2 linked regions of the Neurospora crassa OR74A genome follow. The protein of the gene in region 1 interacts with the protein of each later gene in a pairwise test. Links are inferred from orthologs where the notes say so. Each region holds a gene or a part of one and is shown in the gene's direction. Other genes may lie near its edges.

Region 1 (9,977 bases):
GGTTTGATAGCAAACAAGGCACGAAATGCCTTATCAATAAGAAAGCGCATCTCTACGATGCTTAAGTTACTTACCCCTCCTGGATATTGGCTGGTAGTCTGCAGAGGTGGTATGACTAGACAAGAGTCAGATCCCATCCATAACAGCGAGCAGGGTTGTGCCAGTGATCACACCTGAGAACGCGATCCTTGGCCCCAGTGTAGATGAGTTGCTGCTTGCAGGGCTTACTGATTCTGTCACCGCTGCTGTTCCGCCGCTTGTTGAGTGGAAGGATCTTCTTTCAGACCATGCGCGCCTCGGAAACCTAATGTAACTCAGTCTAGAAGCCCTTCGGCTTTCTTCCTTTTCCGGAGTCCGTTTCATCTCCTGCTCATCACTGTTTCCCCTGCTATGCGTGATAGAGCCATCATTCGATGAATATATCACAGGGTCGGAGCGTCGTTCACTTGCTGGTCCTGATCCAGAATATTTCTTTGCTTTCTATCACGTTCGATCAACGTCAGCATACATCTGATTGTATAATTGGCTCTTGGAAACCTACGTCCTTTGTTTTCTGAAAGACAGACATTGCGCTGATTCCTGTCTTGGAGAGAAACCCAAAAGTCTCTCGGGATTCGGGAGGGATATCTGGGCTGACTTCAGCAGGTAGTGATAGATCTAATGACCTAGGAGTTTGGAAGCTGTGTTTTGGTGCGAGCCACTCGCTTTCCACAAGGCTGGTGCTGGTCAATAGATGTACACCTGGGCTTTGTAAAGCAAGGATATGAGCCTCCTCGGTACGAAAGGGGCTATGTGGGGAGGTAGGCGTATTGTTTGACGTCGATAGTTGCTGTTGTGGTTGGTTCGTCTTTGGTGAAGCTCTAGACGCGTCATTGTCGTGGCTTCCGCTTCCAGTCTTCCTAGACCGTCTTCTCCATTTCCAAACTTTGGCCTCAGGGGTTCTGCTACTGGCTGCAGCGAAATCAATCGGTCGAAACTTGCGCTCGGCCCAGTACCCCTCCGGATACCAAACCCATTCATATCCTTCTTTGGGTGGCCGAGGGGGGTCAAGGTCGTACACCCCTCGAAGAGAATTGTCTTTGGAGTTACGAACCGATGCGCCGCTGATCGATGGCACCCTGCTCAACGACCCATCCAACACTGCGCCACCGAGGCTAGGTAAAGAGCTTCTCCTCCGTTTCTCGCCTTGATACCAAGGCGACGACGAGAGGCTCATCGCAAGTGAATTGAACCGCCTTGAAAGTGTGGCCACCCGACCGATGGGTTCCGAAGGTTGGGCAATGCCTTGTTGTGCTGCTGTATTGATGTAATCGCTGTTTATCTGCCCAACGGGGGAAAGTACTATATTGAGGTTGAGGTGGTGTCGGGATTCTTAGGCGAAACGCCAGAAAGCAGCGCCGAAAATCCTGATCTTGCGGAAATACTGAGTAGAACTTGGTGTCTCGGGGTAAGAAAGCAATCTCAAGAATAAATAGGGAAACGAGAGGGGCGGAGTGCTTAGAATGTTCGGGTTGACCGGGTGTTAGGAAGAGAACACTAGAAACTCGTATGGTAAAAGCACCTAATACGGGATGATGCCATCAGATACACGAGATATCGAAGTAGGCGAGAGCTACATTGCCTTCTTTCCCTTTACACTGTTCTCTCAGGATTCCGACAACGTGGCAGAGGATCGCGGTTGCCTTGGACTTGGAAAAATGGGAGAAGGGCATTCCAAGCCAGATTGACGCAACAAAGAAGTCAAAAGGCAGCTTCCTTCACATAACTGAAAATGATTATTCCAAGGCTCCTCGACAATTCCTGTTGCTGTACCGGGTATCTTGAATTTATAATTTCGTGCACTAAAGCATTACAGGTCGTCAACAATTATGTTGCTGGTTGGTCAGCACCACTAAGATACAAAGGGTAGTACATGGTGACTGACTTGGCATGACCACTTCCTCTTCAAGCGGCGTGATGAGTAGTAGCCACTGTCGAGGCGTGACATAGTATTATCAAAGGGGTCAATGTCTAAGGACTGCCCCAAGCCACCAAGGTCACTAAACAACACGACTCCCATCTCTATGCGCGTACCAGGTAAAAATGAGCCACATGTCCTCGTTGCATACCAAGGGTTCATCGTCTATAAGTCATTACCGGATCACCGATGTTTCTTCAAGCGTCCAGCATCGTGTCATCGCCATCAAATCCGGGTTGCGCGACAGGGACACCACCTCCGCGACCTGCGAGAAGTTCTCGCCTGATCTCGGGCGAAATCTTGTCATGGCCGTGAGTTAGGAGAAGATCCAGGAGAGCCTCTCGCTGGTCCTCAGTAACTACACAAAGACCGCGGTTAGTACTCAAAAATAATAGGGACGCATAGTGAAACAGCGACGGAAGAAGCAAACTCACTGTTCGTCTTGTATCTCTGTGCAAATGAGAGCATGCACTGATGGAAGATGACTGGTAAAGCGTTGGGTGCCATATGCCCGCCGGTGGCGAAAGCGGGATACCGAAGAAAGTGGAAGACGAGGGCATCGAGCGCTTGGAAGGCTGTATTACAAAGTCAGAGAATACAATCATTGGCACGCTAGGAATTGGACTTACGCAAGGCGTGACGTTTCTCAATCAGAGTCTTGAGGAGGAAATTCGTAGCGCTAACGCAGTCGAGGCGCTGAGAAGCCTGCGCAGAAGAAATTTCGCACAAGCCCTTAATGGCCATACCGGAATGAACAGCCGGAATGGTGACCCGGGTCAAAACACCGGCTACGATCTGCGCCTCACGCAGCGAGCACGTTCCGGAAGCCGCCAAAGGAAACAAGAAGCCTGCCAACGGTTAGCTGGGTTGTCCCTTTTGAGCAAACCTGACTAAGCGTAGGCAGTAAATAACACACCTTTGAAGAAACCACCAGGCTTGTAGAGGGCCTTTTTTAGGGAGTTGAAAAGATGGACATTGAGCTTCTTGGTCTCGTGAATGTCCTCGCGGACGCGTTCTAAGATCACCATCTCCATAAACCGTTGAAGAACAGCCTCCTTGGCGGACGCAAATATCCTGGTGGCCGCGTAGCTAACAATCGCAAATGTCAGCAGCGTTTCTCTGGCTCCCGAAAACAGGAAGAAGCAACCATACCAGGCATTGGGAGTCCAGGACTCGGGTTGTGTAATGGGCAAGATGTCCTCCCAGTGGGGGATCTGAGGAAGGACCTTGAAAGGCTTGGGAAGCGGCCCAGATTTGTAGCGAGAAAGAATCATGCCAATTCTGCGAGAAGGAGTCTGTCAGTAGTCTGCCAAGAGGGTAACAGAAATAACGGCCAGCCTACTTCTCAAACACTTCCATCACCTTTGGGGGGATCTCGTAATCCTCATCAATTGGGCCAGGCTCGTCGCGGTACCCGCCTTGGGGGCCGCCGGCTTCCTTCTCTGCGATCTTGGCAAGAATAAGGTCCGCCAGGTTCACGCTCTGACCCTGCTCTTCTGCCCCTTCTGGCTTTCCATCCCATCCGTGTGTTAGGAGCGGGTCCTCGTTCATTGTGGGTGTGATAAACTGGTTGAATGTCTCGAGATCGGTGGCGTCGACTTCGATTTCCTCTACCTCCTCCTCCTCTTCCTCGCCCCAGGCCTCGTCGTTCTCAAACTTGTCGTCTTCGTCATCGTTGCGGTCGAATCTCGATGGATCGAACTCGAACGCCGAAGGAGCAGATCCGGAGGCTGCGTTTTGTGTTGTCCGGAGGTTCTCCTCCTCCTCGATGAGGCTACGGCTCATAGCCAAAATGTTGCGCGAAGCCTTGGCGTCGACATACTTTTGCTCATCTTCGTCGTTGGCGGCGCGAGTGTTCTTGCTCTTTTTGCCGGAGTTGTTCTTAAGGACGCCGGTAGAAACGAGGTCGGCCTCGAGGGGGTTGTGGCGCCTCTTCGACGTCGCCGCTGTTGTCTTGGGCATCTTGAATGGCGGTAGGGTTGTGCAATCGGGGGAAGAGTTGATGATACGGAGCTCTCCTGGTTGTCCCCTCTCTTTGCGATGTCGACTTGGCTGCACACGGCAATTGGGGATATTTTTTTCGGCGACCCTTGGACAATTTGTTCCCGCCGTGGAGAAGTCTGGGCACTTGAAAGGCTTGCGCTACGCTTGTGGTTGGTCACTTCTTTGCTGTGTGGGCACACTTTATTTTCTGATGCCAGGGCGGTGAAAATGATAAGCGGTACAATACCTCTTATCGCTTATCGTCTAGCTTGGACGCGCCCGGCGGAGCAGCGATAAACATTTTATTGCCCCGCATTTTCGTCACTGTGCCCCTCTTCGGTTGCAAATTCCTGGAATTTTGTTCCCTGTGTTTACAGTTTTTGCAGCTTGGCCCACTGCATGAATAAGAGCAAGGGAAGTCGCGACATCATAGCCTCGCTCGCCACGGTTACGAGCTTATAGCAAGTCCAATACAACCATACATCCAGCTACCATTGATAACATGCCGACCGAACTTGAAGAGGTAATTCTGCCAGAACCAGTGCAGTGTCAATGTCAGTGGACAGACAACTAATCGCTATAATCGCCTGAAGCTCGTGGGCTTCATTGCCTCGCCGAACGCCAACATCCGCCTTCTCGCGACAGAGAACCTGGTGCCCTTCTCAGCGTCTCAGCCCGCCCTCTTCAAGACCGACGAGCTCACCCCCATCAAGCATCTCAAGTTCTTGATCCGCGACCACCCGGTAGGCCCAACAGACTTGTCTTGTTTGCGCCCAAGCAGCTTCAGCTAAGACGTCGGTACCATGTGCAGAAAATCGCCGAGCACGCCCTAACATGCTTGATCAACTTGACTGCCGAGAAGGATGTGCTGGAATACGTCGCGACCGATGATCGCTTCCTTGGAATCCTCCTCGGGCTTCTTGTCGTATGTGTATCCATTCTGAGCTCCTACGGTGCGTGCGCAGCAAGGACTAACCGCTTCGATCCCGTTCCTATAGGAGCCCGAGGAGGTTAACGCCAATCTTATGGCTATGTTGCTGGCAAACTTGACCAAGTGGGATGGACTCAAAAGTCTTCTAGACCGGAAACAGCCCGCTCCAGAGAAGCTCAAGTCCGACGATAGGGTCATTAACCAACTAATGGACCTCTTCGTCAAGGGCGCCGACGGGACTTACAACAAGCACGCCGATTACGACTACCTCTCCTACGTCTTTGCCGACCTTTCGAAACATGAAGAGATCCGGCACTACTTTGTCAACAGACAGGACTACGACGATGTTATTCCAATCAACAAGATCAAGGTCTTTACCGAACACAAGTCCGATATCAGGCGAAAGGGAGTGGCGAGCATTATCAAGAACGCTGCTTTTGACATTCCTTCGCACCCGGCGTTTTTGGATGAGGATGACGTCAATATCTTACCCTACATTTTACTTCCTATCATGGGCGGCGAAGTTTATCCCGAGGATGAGGCATTGGAAATGCTTACCGATCTTCAGCTATTGCCTCCAGACAAGCAGCGCGATCCCGACAGCAGCAACATCCTGACACACCTAGAAACTCTTACTCTCCTCACCACAACGAGAGCTGGCCGCGATTTGATGAGGAGCATCAGTGTTTACCCCATTGTTCGGGAAACCCACCTGCGTGTTAATGATGAAGCTGTCCAGGATGCTTGCGAGCGGTTAGTAAATGTACTAATGAGAGACGAAGCTGAGGGCGAAGAGATTGAGGGAGGAGCAGCGACAGCAGAAGAAGAGGACGACATCGTTGAGGTTTAAAAATCTTGAGAATGAACCAAACGCAGCTGGTTTCGCTCCATCAGCGCCTGCCCGAAACCGACAGCCCGAGATTGGTATGCCCATACGTTATTTACATACCGTCTGGAAGCACTTTGGGTACTATGATGCTGAAAGTTGTTACACCGCCACACACACAGCCTTACCAAGACTTTACTTGTCCCTTGGGTCGAGCTCCCCACAGTCACCATTGCACCGTATTGTTATGCATTCACCAGCGCCGTCAACCTTGGCAAAAGCTTGAGGGTCTTGGGTATCTTCCTGTGCTTGTATCGACGAAGACGCCCTTCTTTCGGATCTGTGTCATGATGTCATCCAAGCCCACCAACAACGCACTGGAAGAGTGCTTCTGCAGAGAACAGAAAGCTTGTGTGTCAAGGAGGGAAAGCTTGTGCGATGGACTGGAAAGCTTGTTTTGGATGACAGAGCCAATGAAGTGGCACAAAAACTATACGTGCTCACGATATGGTCCCGGAAGTTTATTGACACCGGCACGGCTCGCTGAATGATGTTTGCCGCACAACATACAGAGGCATGGGACGCACCGGGCACTTGGGTTGTCAGATCAGCTTGGCATACGCAGGTTGAGCACCAGATTCATCGGGATTGTCTATACCGGTTTGTACCACAACACCAGACTGAATCTCAGACTTCACGGTACTGCGAGTTGTTTTCGTAGGTCTATCAACCTCCAGAATGGGTCGTTGTTAACGAGAGGAATAATCCGTAGTTGATATGCCCATGCCGTGGTCGAAGTCAGCGCTGTGATTGGCCGAGCATTGCGGATTTGCCAATGCATATCACACGATACGTGCTGAAAGCCTGAAATTGAAGGGTCTCCCTATCTTCAAAGTCACACACGCGGCCCCCGTGCTTGCTCGAACATGCATAAAGACAAGCTGGTGGCCAACCTTGGAGCTCAAAGCGAGATGCCTTGACGCGAGGACTGCTCCAGTCCCCACTGATGGAAAAGCACATGCCCTAAACGAGGATTTGGTGAAGATGAAAGACATGTCGCTCATGTCTTCTGTTGTGTGCGAAATCACGGATGATTCCGTGCTCTGAAAGAACATGTTTCGACGTCTCACTCACAGATCAACAATGGTCGTTGGTCTTGGTGGATAACCGAGTGCGTGGCTCGCGTGGGCAAGTGGGTGGGTGGATTCTGCTGTGACAGGGGCTTACGGAACCTTAAAGGATCCATCGAACCAATGGTGGAAAGGCGAACCACCGCGCGTTGTGCTCACACGTGTGGTCTCTTTCCCTGCGATTCGCGGGGAAGACCCTTCTGAAGGTGGGAGCGGCTCTTTTCTGGGGTTGTAGTGGCCCCTAGCGGCCCATGCAGGTGGATGTGCCAAGATGCCAAGTGAGGTTAGAGGCGAAGACAACGTCCGGGGGTCTTGACGGGGCAGGACGGGGCAGGACGGGGCAACAGACCAGTCCAGACTTTGCTACCTGAGACTTGCCTCGACCGTACGCAGTACACTACACCAAAAACCGATGATGAGATCAGCTTTGTGGAGTCGTTCTCGGACACCAGGCATCCAACATGCTCCCTTCTCGTGTATGATGTTCCTGGCGCTGTGGGCCAAACAGGTATTAGACTTCGCCCATTATGCAGCACTCGGGCACTTCCGGTTTGCAGGAGGCCAGGCACAAGAAACACGTTTTTGTAAACGACAGATCGGCGACCTTTTTCTCCCTTTTCCTCCCCTACGGCCGACGGTTGGTCCGGTCGGAGGAGGGGACCCGGAGATAGAGGAGCTGGACATCGGGATAAGCTTCTGGAAAGAGTTTTTTAGACCGGGCGTCGATATCGATCTTGTCCCAAAGCCGAGGAAGCTTGTTGTCGAGTTTCCAGATGAGGGAACCCCCACCCCGTGAGCAACGGGCCAATCAGGTGTAATGCTGAGCCCACGAGCTTCATGCCTCCTTGACACTGGATACCCAAGCATCAGCCAAGCACTTCTGCACTTGAGCACTTGCAGCCAACGGCTGGGTCTGGTCTTCGGTATGTGATGCTCTTTTGCATACGGACCACGCTCAACGACGTAGGGTAGTGTCGCTGTGAGAGGCGCACTGGGCGCCCAGGCATCCAAGACGCTTCCCGAGTGCAAAACTGCACCTTGGGGCATTATGCCAAGTAATCGAAGCTTTCAGAGTTTTGCCTTAGTTACCTCCACTGTCTTGTCTTGGCCAAAACTGAGTGCGTGGTGGTTGAACAGCTCGCTGGACATGGTACGCTACCCACGTGTCCGTAAAGACAGGTTCTCTGTCTCGGGTGGGAGGAAGATGGCAAGGGCATTATCGTGCTCGTTGTAGGGGAGAGTGAGCAGGATGGATTTGCTAGCTCGTAAAGGCAAAGTATCGACTGATCATTGGTGTGGGAGGTGGGTGCGTCAAACAAACTATTGAGGATATCCCGCGGGACTGCGTGATGTCTCGGAAATTGTCAGTAGCTTTCACGCCATCCGATGTGAATACCTAATCCTGGGGACACTGTAGTCCCATTCCTCCTGCAACGCTATAAGATAAATTCCCACGCATGCCAACTCCTTCCTTTCTTCCTATTTTCCTCGACAGCACAAGAGCCAAGTCCTTCCGCCCTTCTACCTCCCTTGGTTCCCATCGGACCACCAAGGCTCTTGACCAAGTCCGACTTCGTTGTCTTGAGGACCAACAAAGGCTCAAGTATCCGATACCGCCATCGCGACAACAAGCCATGAGTACCCCTCAGAAGACTGCCGGAGGCAACAACGCCTACCACAACTTTTACAATGACTTTCTTCACATCAAGGATCCCAACGAGAGGCGACGACTCGCCCTCGCCGAAGTCGACAGAGCGCCATTCGGATGGTATCACGTTCGGGCCGTTGCCGTTGCCGGTGTCGGTTTCTTCACAGACTCTTACGACATCTTCACCGTCTCTCTTTTGACCCTCATGCTCGGCATTGTCTACTTCCCAGGCGAAGGCAAGATGCCTACAACCTCCGACACAGCCATCAAGCTCGCAACATCGGCCGGCACGGTCATTGGGCAGGTCGGCTTCGGCGCCGCTGCTGATGTCTTTGGTCGTAAGAGCATGTACGGATTGGAATTGTTGTTCATCATCTTTGCCACTCTCGCTCAGGCCTTGGCCTCCGGGTCACCTTCCATCAACATCATCGGTATCATTATCTTCTGGCGTGTTCTTATGGTAAGCAATTATTCAGACGAACCCCTCTCACAAGAAACGTATAACTAACATCTATTACAACAGGGGGTCGGTATCGGTGGAGACTATCCTCTTTCCAGTATTATCACCTCCGAATTTGCTACAACCAAGTGGAGAGGTGCCATGATGGGTGCCGTCTTTGCTATGCAAGGTCTTGGCCAGCTTGCTGCCGCATTCGTCATGTTGTTCGTTACACTCGGTTTCAAGAAGTCGCTTGAGGCCGCCCCTACTCTGGCTTCGTGCACCGGAGACTGTGCCGTTGCCGTTGACAAGATGTGGAGGACAGTCATTGGTGTCGGTGCTGTTCCCGGCTGCATCGCGCTCTACTACCGCTTGACTATCCCCGAGACTCCTCGCTACACCTTCGACGTCAAGAGGGATGTTGAGCAGGCCAGTGACGACATCGAAGCCTTCAAGACGGGCAAGCCCAAGGGCCAGCCCGACGAGGCCACCCGCATCGTCGCTAAGCAGGAGGCCGAAAAGGAGATGGAGATCCCCAAGGCCAGCTGGGGCGACTTCTTCCGCCATTACTCCAAGCGCAAGAACGCCATGCTGCTCGCCGGCACCGCCCTGTCTTGGTGCTTCCTCGACATCGCCTACTACGGCGTCTCGCTCAACAACGCCACCATCCTCAACGTCATCGGCTACTCCACCACAGGTGCCAAGAACACGTACGAGATCCTCTATAACACCGCCGTCGGCAACTTGATCATTGTTCTCGCCGGCGCCGTCCCCGGATACTGGGTCACCGTCTTCACCGTCGACACTGTCGGTCGTAAGCCGATCCAGTTCATGGGCTTCGGTATCCTCACCATTCTTTTCGTGGTCATGGGTTTCGCCTACAAGCACCTCTCGCCTCACGCGCTGCTCGCCATTTTCGTCCTTGCCCAGTTCTTCTTCAACTTTGGTCCCAACGCTACCACCTTTATCGTGCCCGGCGAGGTGTTTCCCACTCGTTACAGGTCTACCTCGCACGGCTTGAGCGCCGCCATGGGCAAGATCGGCTCTATCATCGGTCAGGGCG
Region 2 (9,482 bases), about 450 kb from region 1:
ATGAAACTGGGGAACGGACTCGAAAACTTTGAGATTCAGTTCTGCCACTGGCACTCCCCGCGCTGGGGAAAACGAGCTTGGGTTCATTGCCCAGCACATTGGGGTTGTTCCTTCTTCTGTGTTTGCTGCTCGAGAATTGAAATCGTGCAAGTGCGACTGCATAATGGGCAGGGGTGGCAATGCAGCTGCGGCCAATCATAGTGTGCATGGGGCTTACAAGAATTGAAATTGATGCAGTGGGTGCCCACTTAATTGGTCCAGATCGTCGATTTTCGTTGATCATGGATTGTTCGCATTGGTGGGAGCTACAATGATAACCTTCCAACGTTTCCTCCTCCACCTCGAGCAGAAAGACCAAGACGGGCATCTCGCTGCTTCTGCCTTTCCGTCAATATTTCCACAGCTCATGGATGCGCAACCTCTGATGCCGCCCGTCCTTCAACCACCTTCTTCAAGTCCATTCCGTTACGTCAACGACCATGCTCAAACCCCTAGAGGTATGGACTGTGCGGCTTTGGAGAGCGGAAGTGCCAAACTCCGAAGATTGTTCCAGCCCTTCGCCGGCGTCTAGCGGTGAAACCAGACACAACAAGTGGAAAGTGCTGGTTGATGTCTCGTAGTGAGACTAATGACCGTTACACGCACATGATCATCATATGCAGCATCGAGGCCGACCCCGGAAAAGCGTTTCTAAGGCTCTCGCCCCTCCCGCATCGTTTTTTATCTTACACTAGCTTCAGCTACTACATAGGTACCCGGTCCTAGGATTCTAGATGACAATCTAGGCCGGCACTGTGTTTCATTCGAGCCATCTCCGTCACCTGGAACGTATTTTACCATCTCTTCGGCGTCAACTCTACATCCCCGTTTTATATATTTTCCGAGTCTGCTCATAGACCATCATGTCCTCACATGCTCTCACTGTCAGATCGCCAGTTTTTTCTTGCTCCGCCGTTATCATCATCTCGCAGGACAAAGAACGACAACTCATCGATCCGATACATTGCAAGCTATCAATGTCAAAATTTCTTCAATAAAGAGCGAGAAGCTTATCATGTTGCATGCCTGCAATCCCCTCTTCGTCGGCATGGTCATGGTTGCACTCGGCATTTTCCATTATTTCACTCGTCGGTAAACACCAGGTACGGATATACACATAGTATACACTAGTACATACCTACCTATACACAGTAGTGTTGCCGCCTGCAGAGTCTGGTTTGGCTGCTGCAATGCACCCACCCTGATGCGGCTTGCGTGTACCCGGCCGGATCTTCCAGGGCGATGTCACTTTGCAAATACCCGGTCACCCGCCCTGGCCTGCTCTCGGAGTTACATAGCCCATCAATACCATGTTCTCCTTTTTGCTGACCCTTGTTCATGAACTGAAGATGCAACCACGGATGGATGATAACTCGACCCATGCCGCCTTTTGCTACTACAATACTGTACTGCATATACATTCACTAGTGCCCGCAGAGCTGTTTCTCAGAAGAACTGTATGCATACCACACCCATTCACTCTCTTCTCAACCCTGTTTACACAATCCATCCTCCTGCAGGGCCCAATTGCATTGGTGTACGAAAGGGGCACCAACTGATTACGTCAAGCATGGAGGATATAGTTCGTGAGCTACCTGGAAAGTGAGGTATCACTATTTGCACTTTGGTTATTATTCTTGTCGGAATATTTTCAAGAGGCCCAGTCTCAGCCATCAGTTATCGGCCAGCCTTTGACAGCTTCCGTACTTCTCCCGAGGCCGGGTTAACGCCGGCTCAAGATACCTTGGTCAAGATGACCCGTACCCAGCCGGTCTTCCCACCCAGCCTCCATGCAAGCACATCTTTGTGTCACGCTACTGCATATGCATCAAAACTCCTCGACTCGAAAGGTTTTGGGATCAGGGCGCTAGCTTGACGCCATCTTGAGGAAGCACAATGTACTCGAACAGCCGTCAACGTACACACCCTTGGGCATCGTTCCTTTCGTCTGCCTTATGGGAAATCAACCAAGTCAAGACGTTACCCCGCGCACGCGTTCCTTGTACTGGTGATTACTCAATTCCAGGACTACTTTGTACAAGCAGTCGTACTGGGATATTTCGCAATATCTTGCTTCCGCACTTTCTGGGGATCCATACAATGGGGAGACACGCTTGTCATAGCCCTATCAACATCTCTCCGTCCGTTTTTGCCTCTTTTTTTCTGGCGAGACGTTCAGCATCGGAACATTAACGGATTCCTACACGCATCAAAATGACTAAGTATCTCATCAGAAGTCCCTACCAGTCCCATATCCGAGCCGTGAGATACTACGCCACCAGCGAGTATGATTTGGTTTGCCGCCTTACACAGCAGAACTACCGAGCTAGGGAATCCATCAATTGTCGGATTACCAGTTATGGGTTGCGCCCCTATCTCCCTTTTTGCGCCGCTTCGCAAGGATAGAACAGCCAAGCGAACTAATACATAGCGAGATATCACATGCATGCAGCCCTGTAGCAGACACGAATACCTACTGACGTGCCTCATCATATCGGCGTCCGATGGGTTTGCAGTGCTTCATGCAAGAAGTCGGAAGTGACTGTTCTCCGGGCTAGGGTTTCGGGCCGCTGTGTGGAAGGGGACAAGTACCATATCTGCCATCCCGAGAAGGCAAATAACAGTTCGCTAAGGCATCAGCCAGCTCAGATAAGCCTATCTCATTTCCTCTCTAACAAGGCTGCTATGCATAGAACAAAAATGTGTCTCCAAGCAAGACTGGTAAGAGTAGCATACCCAGTATTGAAGCGTTTGTCTCTTTCATCCTCAAATCCACGTTCTTGAAGTCGACCAAAGGAGCTATCTTGGAAGAGGCCCTGTCAACCGTTTTCTTCTAGGCTCCTAGGCTCTTTTAGAGCTAGCCACATCCAATTCGATGAGGTTGACGCGAGCCGAAGACAATCAGATCAAACAAATCTGATCATCGGCTCGTTAATCTCTGGCCATCAACCCAAATAACAACACAAACCCGCGGAACGACGTGGCTACTCTGGCAACATTGACAGCATACTAGATGCCTAGAGGATATGGACACAGCAAGCAAAGAACCAGCAGGCCAAGCGCCAGCACACCAAAACGGGGAACGCCGAAAACGGGTGTTGCGTTAGAAAAGAAAACTGTACGGCGCAAACAACGTGAACAGATCGGTACCCATGACTATTGTCGTCTCATCGTGTGATCTTCTCGTACCGGATGAATCACTTGTTCGGGAGGCAGTTGAAAGGTGATATCTCTACCACTCTGTAGTTAGGAACATGTTTCAGGAAGAGGACTCTGAGAGGGGAATAATGAAAAGTGGAAAGTTCGCAACGTGCCGCTGCACGAACCCAGTATGAGGTGGTTTGATCTTGGTTTTTATCGTGGTGCTATCTTTCACCATGGACAGACAACCTCAAGACTACAGGTGTAAAGTTCTTGATGATAGCACGCACTTCAGTCATGGAGAACGGCGGAAGTGTTAATTCTTGCAGTTTCATTCTTCCTTTTCCAGCACTATTTAGTTCCTGTGGTAACAAAGGCATCATCTGAACAGTGTCGAGTGGGAAAGTTTCAAGGAATAGGCTTATAGGGGTTGGGCCTCAAAACAGGATTCAACAATAACACGGTCCGATGGTGTAGTTGGTTATCACGTCAGTCTAACACACTGAAGGTCCCCAGATCGAGCCTGGGTCGGATCACAGTAAAATCTTCTTTTTGCATGTTTGCAAGCCGTCCTCTGCGGACGCTCTTCTCTGCCTTTTCGTTCGCTTCCTTTTATTTTTGCAACCATCTTAACACAATCTCCGGACGAGTACAATGGAAAACCTCTCATCCTTGCCGCTGCTCGATACCGGTTCCTACTGTGATTTGGTGCCCCGCCCCCGCAGCTCCGGGCCGTTGGTTCCACCTCGGAGCCGGACCCGCTGCGGTAAAAATGTTTCCACTGGCCCCACTTAAAAGTTTCCCGGAGCAGAAATCCAGAAGAAGCTCGAAGAATGTCACTGAGCCTTGATAATTTAGGAGATTATTCGACTTCTCAAGTGAACAAAACAGGTTACTTCATTTTGTCTTACAGAGGGAAATCCTAAGCGCTTCAAAGCTACACACAGGACTTGCGATATCTTCGAATACGTTGCGTCACAAGTCCGAGTTCATTTTCAAGTTTCGTCATTTTCGACATCAGCAACGGAAAAGTCCACACTCTACAACAACAACAACCTCGAGTGAGTGAGCGGGAGTCTCACTTTTACCATAAAACCCAAACAACACAATCAACGCCCAACATGGAGGACGTTACAAAATCCGCCGAGTCTCTCAACATTTCTAACGACAATGACGCCTCTGAGTCGTCAGCTCCGGCCGTCATCGGCCCAGCTCCGCCCCCGCCCGGCGCCGACCTCTCCGCCCTCTTTGGCAACCTTCCTCCCGGTGCGCTCGCCGCCAACGCCAAACCCATGACGGTCCAAGAGACCTTCGAGGAGATGAACAAGCACCCCCTCTTCATGACCTCCCTGCCCTCCGACGAGGATAACGAGGAGCTCGCTGCCCTGCAGGCGCTCGCGTACGAGGGCACCCCCCTTGAGAATGCGCAGAACTTCAAGGAGCAAGGAAATGAGTGCTTCAAGGCCAAGCAGTGGAAGGACGCAAAGGAGTTTTATGGCAAGGGCATCGCGGTGCTGGTAAAGGCCGACAGGGAGAGACGGGATCCGGCCTTCAAGGCGAAAGTCGAAGAGGAGAAGCGGAAGCGGGAGGAGGAGGCGCGCAAGGCCCGGGAGGAGGGTGACGCCAAGGCCAAGATGGAGGCGGATCTGGAGAATGTCAAGGCTGAGATGCCTATCGCGGAAGCAAAAGAAGATAAAGAGGAAAAGAAGGAGGACGAGCTAAGCGAGGAGGAGACGATCAAGCAAGAAGCCTCGCTGCTCGAAACCCTCTACTGCAACCGCGCCGCCTGCCATTTGTCGCTCGCCAATTACCGCTCCTGCACGCTCGACTGCGCCGCCGCGCTCCGTCTCAACCCATCCAACCTCAAAGCCCTGTACCGCTCCGGCCGCGCTTTGTTGTCTGTCTCCAAGATCGCCGAGGCCGACGACGCCTGCGCGCGCGGTCTCGAGATCGACCCCTCCAACGCCGCCCTCAAGCAACTCGCCCGCGACCTGATTGCCAAAAACGAGGAAATCACCCGCAAGCAGCGGGCCGAGGAGGCGCGTCTGGAGAAAGAACGGCGCAAGAAGACGCTCAAGAAAGCGGCGCTCGAGGCACGCGGTATCAAGACCCGCTCGACCGATGACCCGCCTTCGATGGAGGATGCTTGCATCCAGCTTGTGCCTGATCCGCTTGACCCTCAGTCGGAGCTGAGTTTCCCCGTCATGCTGCTGTACCCCTTGAAGCTGGAGAGTGATTTTATCAAGGAGTTCAGGGAGACCGAAAGTGTGGGCCAGCATTTGGAGTATATCCTGCCGGACATGCCGTGGGATGAGGAGGGGGACTATGATAGACCCGACAAAGTGGAGTGTTACATGGAGAGTGTCAGCGGCGGGCTGATCAGGGTCCCGCAAAAGGCGAGCTTGTTGAGGGTGTTGAGTAGTGGGAAGACGGAGGTGGTGGATGAGTTGGTTAGAATATTTGTGGTGCCGAAGGGGGAGAAAGCGGAGGGCTGGATTAAGGAGTGGAAGGAGAAGAAGGCGGGAGAGAAGAAATGAGTGAGTAAAAATCGATAAGGATGAGAGGGAGGACGAGAAAAGAATTTATGATACCCAAGGTAGCTGAGTGGGAGGATGCATATGATGCGGGGAGAAAAAAAAAAAAAACGGAGAGGAGGACTGGATGGATGGGCGGTTTACATAGACATTCAGTAGTTGCAGATTGCTGTTGCAATATCAGTCACAATATAGGGTCATGGGATAATCTTGTTCGCTGTGTTTAGTTGTTTCATTTTGATCTCAATTGTCATTTGAAAATCTTGCTCTCGAGCAACTACTCTTGGTAGGGTATTATTCAATTCTCACCACTTCCAGCTTCCGGCTCTTCCTCATAATTTTCTGGAGGGTTTCCATCATCAAGGAGTTATCCTAACTCTTCCTCTTTGCAAGTCTCTAAGGATTCCATCCTCTATTTTCCTCATAACACAGACAGAGCCAAACCCAAGTACTCTAATCCCAGCAGACCCTTAGCAAGGTCCAACACAACAAACATGCTTTGTAGTCCATCAACAAGCCACAAGTCAAAACAAAGATACCTTTCTACCTCAGTGTCGCTTTTTGTGGATCGCCGATGGATAGATCATGCCCTTCTCTACATCATCAAAGTAGACGTTATGGAGAGACTCCCTCTCTGTATATCTCAACGCTGTTATCGAAACAGGCCACAATAGAAGAAGAGATGAAGGGATGAAAGGCGGTACTAAGCTGCTACTGCAGGGAATGAAGAGAGGGTACACCAAACAAAATAGAGAGAGAAGCGCCAGATATCATTCATTCGACCCGCTGTGACTATCAAGTCAAGACTTTCTATTCACACAATCAGCTCAGACAGTCAATGACTGGATCGATGGATGGTTGAAGAAAAGTGTGAAAATATCCGGTCACGGGAAATAGGAAGCAAAGTCATAGGATCAAAAGGTGGAGGGGTCAGATGATGTGTGCTCAGACGTACCAAGAAACAAAGAAGTTACAGGTAGGTACCTCAGAGTACCCAATTCACCTTCAAACAAGGTATAATGTTGGATAATACATGTATTGACAAGAAAATGGGCGATCCAACCGATGGCAACTGGGCAAAGAATGGATTTTCTTGACGACGCTCAAACAGTTCGCGTTTCTCTCTCTTTTTTCTTCTTCTTTTTTTTTTTCTTTTTCTTTTTGTTGGGGAGAAAAGGGGGAAAAGAGGAGGCAACCGCCGTACCAGTGCACCTTCGTGCTCGTCCTGTGAAGGCAACGAAGTGCTGTGTAAATACTTACTAGTACATAACCCGGTACTTAGAGCAGGCAGACAAGAACGATGGGCAAGAACAAATAGAGAATGTCAGGCAAGTACGATGATAGAGGTACCTACCTACCTACCCACACTAGGTAACGCTGGCCTGTCGTGCCTTCCCTTGTGTTCGGGCTGCGCTTTCTTCTGCCAGAGGATTAACATAGTGATGTTCCGTTTGATAGCTGAGGGGGGGGACGGATGTATAATTTGGTGTTATGTAAGGTAGATACTTATTCTACCGTAATGGCCGAGCCGTCAAGGTTCTCTTCTTTTCGATTATCCTTTATCTTCTCGGCAGCCAAGAGGTCTCGTCTGGGTGGAGGTACCTTAGCTGTTGCCTCATTCCTCCCGTCTCCCTGCCTTCTGCTGTGGTTGTGTGCGTGCGTGCGTTGTGTGATGTTGGGTTGGTGAGGGTAGGCGGGCATAGTTTGCCTGTGACCATGGGGGGAGACCAACCAAATAGATCTGATCCAAGCCGGTGAAGCGATCAAGTAACTGCGACGGTAAAACAGGGAAGGCAGAAGCGAAGAACAGACGATACACACGCTTGTCATTTCTCGAAGGGTGGGAGTTTTGCCTGTTCCTTGCGAGCTACCCAGAGGGGGTGGGAGCATGGTCTTTGGGTCTTGATCGAGCACTAGGTGGTGGACGGTTGATAGTTGTTCTTGCCATCTTCGGCAGTAAAGTGTGTTGGATGTGGCAAAATACAGATTCCAGTGCTGTGTCATCCATCGCATCGAAATCACTAGGTAGATAGCATCTCGTCAAGCTTCATAGTTCAGACAATCAAAGAAATTGTCGAGCATTGCCGATTAATTTCGGAAACAAGAAAAGCATCGTCAAAAATCAGAACAAAGATAGGAAGAATATCATAGCCAACGAATTATTTCTTGCCATGGAACTCAACGCACGGTAACAATGTAGCAAAATCTAAGAAGATATTCAAACAGGGAACGGACGCCCGTAATCCGCGGGCTTCAATAGCCGAGTACAGACTCTCGACAGTCTGTTTGATGCAATCTACAAATAGCAAAGCAAAGCAAAGAAATGAAAACAAGGCACACAAGCTTCGCGAATGTCAAACACCTCCCTTTATTCACTGCAGTGCCTTAACCCTATTCTCCCTTCTCCTCCTAGGAAAAATTGTTGTAATGATAGTACTCTCTTTCTTCACAACCGTGATTTCCTTCCTAACAGGACCAATACCAACATCAAGCAAAGAATCTGCCACGCCCTTTCTCCCCAGCACAAGAATCTGTTTTTGGCTCTCCCCTAAATGTACACATGCAAACAATCTTGATTTGTGTCCCTTCAGAATGACTTTGCCCTCCCAACAAGCAACAATCGTCTCCTCTTCCTTCTGTATTGTTGCTCGTGCTCGTAATCACCTTCATCATCCGCATCACCATTACAGTGACGCGGACCACCAGCATCAGCTTCTTGCCCAGCATATCTAGTCATCTCGTTTGCGACGACCGAGTTCTCCCTAGTACCATTACAACTTGTAGAGGGAGAAAAAGAAGAAGAAGAAGAAGCAATGGAAGTGGAGATGGGTGAACCCAGGTAATTGCTACTTGGCGAGGGAGGTGGTGCCAATGGCTCGGTAGTGTCAATAACAGCAGTAGCAGTAGCAGTCGTAGTACCCCTTCTCAAATTGGTAGCAGTAACCACAGCCGACAGCGTAGGCGATGGTTGACCAGAAGTGGGCGGGGGAGAGACTGGTGATGAAAGAGAAGATGAAGGTGATTCTGGTCGTTTGGTAGAGGAGTAAGCAGCAGCAGCAGCAGCAGCAGCAGCAGCAGCAGCTTCCTTCTCTTCTTCCTGCTGTCTCAGATGCAAGAGTGTTAAAGCCGCCGTCTTGCGAGCTGCAAGACTTGTTTGGCCATCATCGCGACCACTACCAATGGAAGCGGAATTGAAATTCCGGCTGCTGCTATTGTCGCTTGTAGTGTCATTCGCGTTTTTGTCAGCCACAATGGAAGCTGAGGAGGAAGTCCTAGGTAGTGGTAGTGGGAGATGCAGATGGCTTTCGTTATCGTCGCCACATTCCATGTTTGCCTCTACTGCTATTCTCCTGGGCTGGGTGTCTTCTATGTGCTCATGCTCATGCTGGTCCTGTAGGCTTGGCCTTCTTTGGCTCCTCCAGTGCATCGGCGCCGATGTTGATGATGGAGGAGTGAGTGCTCTTTGGTATCCGGCGGAAAATTGATAAGCGCCGCAAGTGCTGTGATCTTGACGAGAATGACTACTAGTCGCATCACCTCCTACTCGGGAAGGCCTCCCATTAGGAAGCCTCCGCCGACCAGAAGGTACAGGTAATGAGCAGAGTTGGGAGATGGGTGGTAGCTGAGGTCTTGGGCTGGGAGAGTTAGATGATGAAAGTGATACCATTGAAGACGATGGTGAGGATAGTATGAGAGAAGGGGATGGTAATCCTTGTGGATGTTGGCTGGCCATGCTGTCAATACTGCCAGCTCTACTCCTGCTGGCGC

The links.
Region 2: the proteins of NCU08324 (region 1) and NCU06340 interact in binary tests that used the Saccharomyces cerevisiae proteins (3 or more experiments, as listed by UniProt). The link is inferred for Neurospora crassa OR74A from reciprocal best matches to the Saccharomyces cerevisiae genes HGH1 and CNS1.

The regions. Positions count from the first base shown.
Region 1 is NC_026504.1:2,397,278-2,407,254, reverse strand, and holds NCU08324 (DNA-binding protein HGH1), read left to right. Parts: upstream 1-4,282; 5' UTR 4,283-4,442; coding exon 4,443-4,463; intron 4,464-4,533; coding exon 4,534-4,683; intron 4,684-4,751; coding exon 4,752-4,865; intron 4,866-4,938; coding exon 4,939-5,721; 3' UTR 5,722-6,868; downstream 6,869-9,977. Other genes in the region: NCU16789 (hypothetical protein), read right to left, coding at 75-98, 174-256, 542-1,341, 1,637-1,712; NCU08323 (bystin), read right to left, coding at 2,155-2,315, 2,392-2,532, 2,587-2,805, 2,874-3,046, 3,110-3,238, 3,300-3,919; pho-5 (inorganic phosphate transporter PHO84), read left to right, coding at 8,462-8,935, 8,999-9,977.
Region 2 is NC_026504.1:2,846,714-2,856,195, forward strand, and holds NCU06340 (TPR repeat protein), read left to right. Parts: upstream 1-4,013; 5' UTR 4,014-4,301; coding exon 4,302-5,717; 3' UTR 5,718-5,861; downstream 5,862-9,482. Other genes in the region: NCU06339 (APSES transcription factor Xbp1), read right to left, coding at 8,302-9,482. UniProt on the Saccharomyces cerevisiae protein: Co-chaperone that binds to the molecular chaperones Hsp90 (HSC82 and HSP82) and Hsp70 (SSA1). Stimulates SSA1 ATPase activity, but not Hsp90 ATPase activity. Involved in only a subset of Hsp90 functions.